Linked DNA regions of Drosophila melanogaster. The gene in region 1 interacts genetically with each later gene. Each region holds a gene or a part of one and is shown on either strand. Other genes may lie near its edges. The genes, in order: red and kar.

Region 1 (3,927 bases):
CGGTTTAATTTGTAAGTCACTTTGCCACCTGACGATTGTAATTCCATCTGTGATTTGTATACGCCCTAATTGTAAGTCGATTACCAGTTTCCTGTTTCATAATTATGAACTCGTAATTGGGATTGACACCTACATACAGGTAGGTAGCCTTGAGTGCTTACCTTTCTAACTAATAGTATAATTAACTAGATTTCTCACCTGCGAATGCAGTTTCCAATCCTTGTAGGCCTTCACAATGTAATCCATTTCCGTGGGCTTGTCTGTTTTTCTGCTTTTCACACTGGATCGCCTGCATCGAAGAACATAAAATATACTAAGTACGGTCACTGCACTCACTGATAGCAATTAACTTTGGTTCATTTTCGTTTTTGTCTGTCCCGTTATCAGCTGAATTCACTCCGCAATTATGAAACAATTAAACGCTGTGGGTATTTTTTTTTTTGTCGAGATTTCTTGGTACATGTTTCTTGGTTTTTTTTTTCGGTGGCTGCCATCAAACGAGGTTGTGCAACTTCCGAGTAATTATTTAACAGACTTTACTTTAGTTTGGGGCTTTACTTTTCTAGTCAAGGCTGGCAACAACAAATCTCTTGTGCTCACTCCTCTTTCGTTTCTTCTGTCTTTTCTTCTATCTGTTTGTCTGTGTGTGCCTCTGCACTTGTGCAAATCTCCAGACCTCGTGGGCGTCACTTTGTGGGTGTGTGCGTGAGTGGGAGTGTGCCGGTGACGTGTGTGAGCGAGTGGGTACAGTCGAGCCACAGTAAGTCGAACTTGTTACTACATGTTTATATATTGTCACATTATATAATAATCAATAATGCGGTAGAAAAGGAAGTTAAATTTCAGCAAAATTATAGAAAAAGTTGGTGCAAACAAATATGCTATTAAAAGTCTTTTTTCAAGTTCCGTTAAGAATAAACACTACCCTTTTAATTGGCCCTAATTCATAATATTCGTTTCAAATTTTATTAAAATATATCTTAAAATGACTTGTACCGACTTCTTATGAACATAATAAAGCTCAAAAAAGTGACATAGAGTGAAGGTCTTTGGGAATTCCGAGTTATGGAGTTTGAACTGTATGTGAATTTGTTTTCCGGCTGCGACAAATTGAAATTTGTATGTACCGCCATTCGTGATATTTTGCCAGTTGACTTTTTGTGTTACTTTTTATCTAGAGGAAAAAAATATCCATTAACTTGTAGGATTTTTCTTGTTATAATTCCAACTGCCGTCGTTCGTGTTGATGCTGTTACTTAAGTTATTAATTTGATTGTTGCTGCTTCTGTGGGACAACAACGAGCAGCTTTTGTTTATGGTTTCTCTAGTTTTCCATCGCCTTGTTTTTTTGTTTTGAAACAATACAAATGAGTGAGAGGAGCAGCGCAGATCACCGAGTGTGTAAATACACACAATCGAGGCTTTACGTTTGTCCCATGGCAACGACAGTAACCGTTCTCTAACTTAAGTAATTGTTGTGCATATATTTCACTTAATAGCAACTCTTCTTTTTATAATATTTTTGTTTATTTGTGTGTATTTCTATATATTCATCTTTTCGGCACTCACAAACACAGATACAAAAGCGGCAACGACGACGACGGCGACGACAACGCGATATATTTTATACGTTTTTTTCCAGCTTTTTCGCCGCTAAACGAAGGCACTAACTAAGTGAACTTAGCCAAAACAACTAAGAGCGCAGCAGGCGAGCGACCAACTCCAAGCAGCACTCAAAAACAAGTGACTGCTGAAATGACTGGCGAACAAGCGACGAGCGACGATTCTCCGCCGCCGGCGAGGTAGACTCTCTTCCAGAAGACTCTCTTTGGGCGTTCAGCTGGGCTCTCGGCTTTCGGTTTCTTCGGCTGGAATTGAAGAATGGCATTATCGCGCACTGGAAGTGCACACAAATACTCATTCGATTCGTGGATGTTGGTTTACTGCCTCCACTGCTTCCACTGCTCACTTCTCCAACCTGGAATTACTTTTCCAAGTACTCACCATAGGGGCCATACGAATTCGTTAGATGATTGTGCCTAATTCGAGTGATAATGGTGATAGCAAACACGTTGGACTAGCCAGCAGGGAAAGAGAATATTACAGGCACAGTGGTTGCATGGTGTGATGAACCATCCGAGTTTTACTTTACTTAATTTACTTTCCCACTTCAGATCACTCATACGCAGTGGTGTCCCTTACAAAAACCATGTTTTAACTGGATGTTGATTTTATTAGATTAAATTGATTAAATTAAGTTTATTAGATTTCATGACAATAGCTTGCATTTAATAATCTAAACTAAAATATTATATAGATGGCACACACTGTACGCAAATAATCGTATGTATGTAAGTATGTACCCGCAAACTTGTGATAATCATTTAAGCAGCTCTCTCTGTTTTTCTGGCACTCATCTTGATTATTAAATGATAACTGGATGACGGCGACAGGTGCACAAGTACAATGATTATCAAGCTCCTCGCGTTTTCTATTAGGTTTTATTGTTTTTTTTTTCCCGAGTTCGTCATAGGATTAATTAGCATGCATGATAAGCCCACGATCTGTGGAGGAATCCCTTTTTCAGCGATGAGCTGGAAATTTTCCAACCAACGCGGACGTCATCGTTTGCATTGCAGATTGCGGTAAAAGTTGAAGAACTATTTTTGGAAATCCGGTGATAGTGGCTATACGCCCGCTGCTTCTGCTGCTGCTGTCAAAACAAGACTTTCATTATGATTAGGCCAACGAATTCGTGTTGTTTGCGGCCCAGATAAGCGCCGAATGACTGTCACAGTACAAGGTAATCCATGTTAGATATACATATATTGTTATCGATACCCCTTATCACTGCGCACCTAAACGGACCGACTAACCATGAGGTGCGGAATGCGTCAGCTGCCAAAAACAAAGCTCGATCTGCCCGTGTTGCCAATAGCTGATAGTCCAAGTTACAAGGAGTTGATCAATTTGTTTATGTTTTCGTGTTTAATAGAAGGAATGCCAGGGAAATTGATTTAGTACCTATTATTAGCATTCATTTGAATTATTTCATTTACTAGCAATAATGGTTGTTATGATTATAGTTTCATTATTATTACTTTTTTTATTTTATTATATTATTTTGATAATATTTAGTTATTTATTATTTTTATTTACATAAGTAATTACTAAATTCAGGCCACAACTATTAACACGTCCTTCTTGGTGAACTTTCTATACTAATAAGGTTAATTGCAATGCCTTTTTGTGAGATAACATCTTCTGAATGTGGGTTACCATTTTTTGTCACTGAACAAGAAATTTACAGGCGCTCAGTGATTCAATTTCCTGCGAATTTTTTGTTCACTTCGGTGAAACGTCGTCGAAATGACGTCGATTTAAGCCACCGAATTACCGCCCTACGCTTCTCGCCCGGCAACAGTTGGATTTACATTGTGAATCAAATATGTGCTAATTGAGCGGACACGTTCGATTCGTTGACCAAAATCTATTTGTTTACATCGCGCCTTGCGAATGCATAAAGCCTTTGGGTGTCTTCCCAAAAAATTGGTTAATAACTTTGGCAAAGAACCAAATGCGAAGTGGACGCAGCTGACAAGTTGTTTATGTGTGTCCGCACATTATGGCTTCATTATGAAATCGCAACTAATCCGAACTTCATATACTGGCATAATGGAATTGCCAATGAGGTGATTGATATTTGCCACTTAGAATGTGGACTAGGAAAATCTCCTGTTTTTTAAATTGTTTACCGAAGCGGTTTCTTTTCTTTCCTTCTTTCCCAATAAGATACCGAAGGGTACTTAAAAATTATATTGAACGGAAAGTGTGATAATATTGGATATTCAAAAATTCAAGGTTAATGTGTTTTGTACACTCCATTCTAAACATTTTAATTACCACAAATTAAACAAATTAGCAGTT
Region 2 (3,927 bases), 1.6 Mb from region 1:
ACACACTCACCCGCTTTGCTGGACGCCTCCGGATCGCCGAGCTTCGTAAGCCTATCCGTCAGCAGCGAATGGATAACGCCGTAGGTGTTGATGAACCCAAAGATGATGCCGTTGCAAAGGAAGGCGCTCACCATGACCAGCCAGGCGCGTGCTCCTCCGTCCGGTGGCTCCTTGCCGTGTATGTCCCGACAGCAGGGCGCCTCGATGTGTGTCCCGTTCGCGTTGCCATTCCCATTCTGAACGGGAGCTGACGGCTTCATTGCATCCTTGCCATTCGCATGCACCAATCCGTTGGTCGCGGATGCTGTATGTCCATTGGCGGCGGGCAGGATACGACCATTCACCTGGCTCTGCAGGTCGTTCAGCGGTTCATTCTCAGCCATGGCTGCTGGCTAGGATTGGATTCGGAGTGCTGCCTGCAAATTTATCATATAGTGTATGAGGTTTAAGTGCATTGAATCGGTTGGACGCACTCCGCGTATCAGTAAGCCACACTGCACCCAAATATGCCGAAATGATACCAGTGCCACTCGCATTTCCCCATCCCGGAAAATAATCGCCGACTGACGCGGAATTGGCTGGTCAAATATTTGGACACTTTTATCGCTATTTGCGCCCCCGACAAATGAAAATGCAGTTTACATTGTCGGCGAACCAGAGGCGAACTAAATGAGCAACAAAGGCTAGATCTTAAGGGAGAGTTACTAGGGAAGATCTCAGTTTCGACTGGAGATAAGCTGAGGGAATTGCTATAAAGGTATAAAGATATAAGGGATGCCTTTTACTTTTGAATATTTCAAATAACATAAATTGTATCTTTAAATAAGTTACCCTTCTGTTCTTTAGCATGTTAGTCACTTATTTAGCCAACGAAAAGTTTAAATTGGATTAAATTGCAAAGCTCAGTTAACGAGGAACCATAAAAAAAACTGGTTCAAATTAATATCCAAAGATATCATGGCCACATAACTTTCGATTCCGCCTCCAATTTCCCTGCTTAGTATCTGGTCAGCAACATTGTAATGCACTTTTAAAGCTGCGCAGAACACAGATTGCATTACAAGCGATAACTGAAATTCGTCGCATTTTTCGATTATGCATGCCCTTGTCGAGTGCACTTGAGGGGTTCGGGGCGCGGTAGCTCGAGGTGGGTCTACTGTCTATGGTTGACGGTTCATTGCAGCGTTCCGTTCTGCAAACGTTTCTTTTTCCCGCCGCGGGGCAGCCGAAAAAACCGCATCGCCGCCACAGCGAAAACTCAATGTAATGCGAACCGCTCGACGGAATTGTAGTAAAAATAAAGAAATACAACTAAAACCACTGTCGTTCTTGGCGGCTATCACCGAAGTTCGCGCTATCAACGCCATGCACGTGCTCGCTCGACACCCAGCTCAATCCCAAGGGGGGTCACTGCCTAAACCGAAGGTCATCCACCGGTCGATGGGTTGGCCCTTATGTAATCGCCGGCGTTTGGACGAACTTCAAGTCCGCTCCTCTACGTACTTGTAAGCCGGAACTCCAGTCGCTGCAGGCAGACGTGCGATTCACTTGAAGACTCTGGGAATCAGATGAAGCCGACTCGAGAATCGCGGGAATCAGTGGTCGGGTGGAGACCTCTCGAGCGAGCACACAACCGAACGCTTGCGTCGTCGGCGGCGGAATGAAGAAAACTGAATTATTTTCCACGAGCTGTTTTTGCGAAAAATCGCTCGCTCACTTGATGAGGGGCGCCTAATCGGAGAAGCAGAGCAACTGTTCTCTGCGGTAAACAAAAATTCACCTAGGCAACGCTCAGACAAGCGATGCGTCAAGGGTTTCCCATCAGCCAGGCTGATGATGCAGCTGCTCCAGGTCCAGTTCCTCGCGCAATCACATGATCCCGGGCGGGATTTTGTGTTCAAATTGAATGCTCTTCTAATTGATCAATTCCCAGAATTAGAAACTGAAGCATTCGGCGGTCCACTGCGCAATACCATCAATTGGTGGTTAGTCGGTGGCGATGACTTCCACCGCCTGCAAGTGGCCATATCCGCCGCAGCCACCAAAGCGAACTGTTCCAGTGCTCAATAGCCTGACCCCAACTTGACTCATCCGGCGAATTGTTCGCCGCTCCTGGCGCCGGCGCTTCCTCTTTTCATATTGCGATCAAAGGCCCGTCGAGTGGTTTCGGGTATATGTATGTGTTTGTATATTTTGACTGGACTCCGGCGAGGAGCAAAGGCCACGTGCATTGTGTTAGATGAGATGTATAAATGTAAAACTTACTCGTTAGTGGAAGATTCAATTCGATTAATTTAAATAACTACTAGCTAACCAATGGACACCATCACATTTTCAGAGGAGCAGCGTCGAGCGACATGGGCAGCACAGGTTCCGGCTGGTCGATGATCAGCTTCAGATTCTTGTCGGGCCACTCGAGCTCCAGTCGCTCCTTGGGCTCGCATTTCTCGTCTAGGCCCGCGCTGCGGAAGTCTTCCATCAGGCGCGGCACCAGTTCATCGGGAATCAGGACCTGAATCCAGTAGCCCAGCACGCCGTACGGTTCGTTCACTGTCACCGCCGAGCCGGTGACGGATTCCGCCACCAAAGTGAGCGCCAGATGCTGAGCCTTGAAGGTGAAGTGGCGCCCATGTCGGATGCGATCCTTGATGGCCAGTAGGAGGTACTTGGCCACACCAGGTGCGAGGGTAATCTCAATACCGTCCAGTGAAATGCAGTTTGGTGCCTGCGCTTGAAAGTCCAGGGGACAGGACTTGTGCAGCGAATTGCTGCTCATCGACATGGATTGTGGAAAGCTTGGTTCCTCGCGTTTCATTTGCGTATCCGTCAGCTGCCGATTGTTTTCGTCGTTGGCGCACTTCTCGCTCAGCGCCTGGAAATCCACCTCCTCCTTCACCTCCTTGGTAGGTTTCAGCTCACGGAACGTAAAATCTGCATTAACGCCGGCCAGATCGGAACCCTGCTTCTCCAGATCGTCCTGTAGGTTTAGCAGCGTTTCGGGAAACAGTTCGAAGACGCTCATCTGGCGATCCATGTTAGTCACCAGCCAATCACCGCCAGTTTGCATATCTTGGCGAAGGAAGTTGAGCACACCGCGCCCGTTCCAACGCGATGCCTGCTCAAGTTCGTCGTCAAAGACGCCGACGATCTGGCAGAAGTCCACCGTGCCCGTGGGAGTGTCGATGCAGCCCAACTGCGGGTCCTGGGCGACGAGCAGGTTCTGTAGCTTGGAAGTGGTACTGCCATCCAGACTCTTGCGCCACGGGATGTTGTCTCCGAAGCACAACCCGTTGCCTGTTTGAAAACAATAGCGTCCGATGGCCTGCAACAGGTTCGCCGGCCAGGTGGGCGGTCTTTGGGGCTTTTCCGGGTTCTCAATCTGCTGCTTTAGCTCTATTTCTGTTTTGGCCAAGCGAAAGGTCAACTCGAACCCCATGCCAGACCGAGTGACGCCCTCCTCGCGCAAGTGGACTCGCTCGTCCCCGTGTAGGTCGCTGAGTCCGAAACTAATGTAGTGCCAGTGCGGCGGAACGTTCCTATCCACATCTCCGGGATAGTTGTACATGCTAATGTAGTCCAACGGATCCTGACCGCCCAGCCAGTACTTGAGCAGTGTGGTCACCTGCAGCGGGTTCGGCTGGTTGGGGTACACCTGCCCGAGGTGGTCTATGATGGCCTTAAGGCCCGGCGGAGGCTTCACCTCAGGTTTTTTGTCCAAATTCGCCTCGGCCATTTCATCCAGTTTGATCAGTATGACCTCAGTTGGAACGTTGCGGAATACCACCGCTTGAATATACCATGAATAAAAATACTGCCATGTAAAGTGCGGATTTGACAATGGAAACTTACATGAGTTTCTTTTAAAACCATTATTTATTTTTAAAACCTTTTTTATAATAATTATTACTTTCTTACTTTTTTCTGCTT

Evidence for each region.
Region 2: of red (region 1) and kar, changing one enhances a phenotype caused by changing the other (phenotypic enhancement), as found in Drosophila melanogaster (one study listed by BioGRID).

Annotation. Positions count from the first base shown.
Region 1 is NT_033777.3:14,287,092-14,291,018, reverse strand, and holds the start of red (red malpighian tubules), read right to left. Parts: upstream 1,949-3,927; 5' UTR 1,570-1,948; intron 778-1,569; exon of another isoform or gene 559-777; intron 290-558; 5' UTR 247-289; coding exon 199-246; intron 1-198.
Region 2 is NT_033777.3:12,687,706-12,691,632, forward strand, and holds the start of kar (karmoisin), read right to left. Parts: upstream 1,663-3,927; 5' UTR 1,504-1,662; intron 417-1,503; 5' UTR 384-416; coding exon 11-383; intron 1-10. Other genes in the region: Su(fu) (suppressor of fused), read right to left, coding at 2,327-3,733.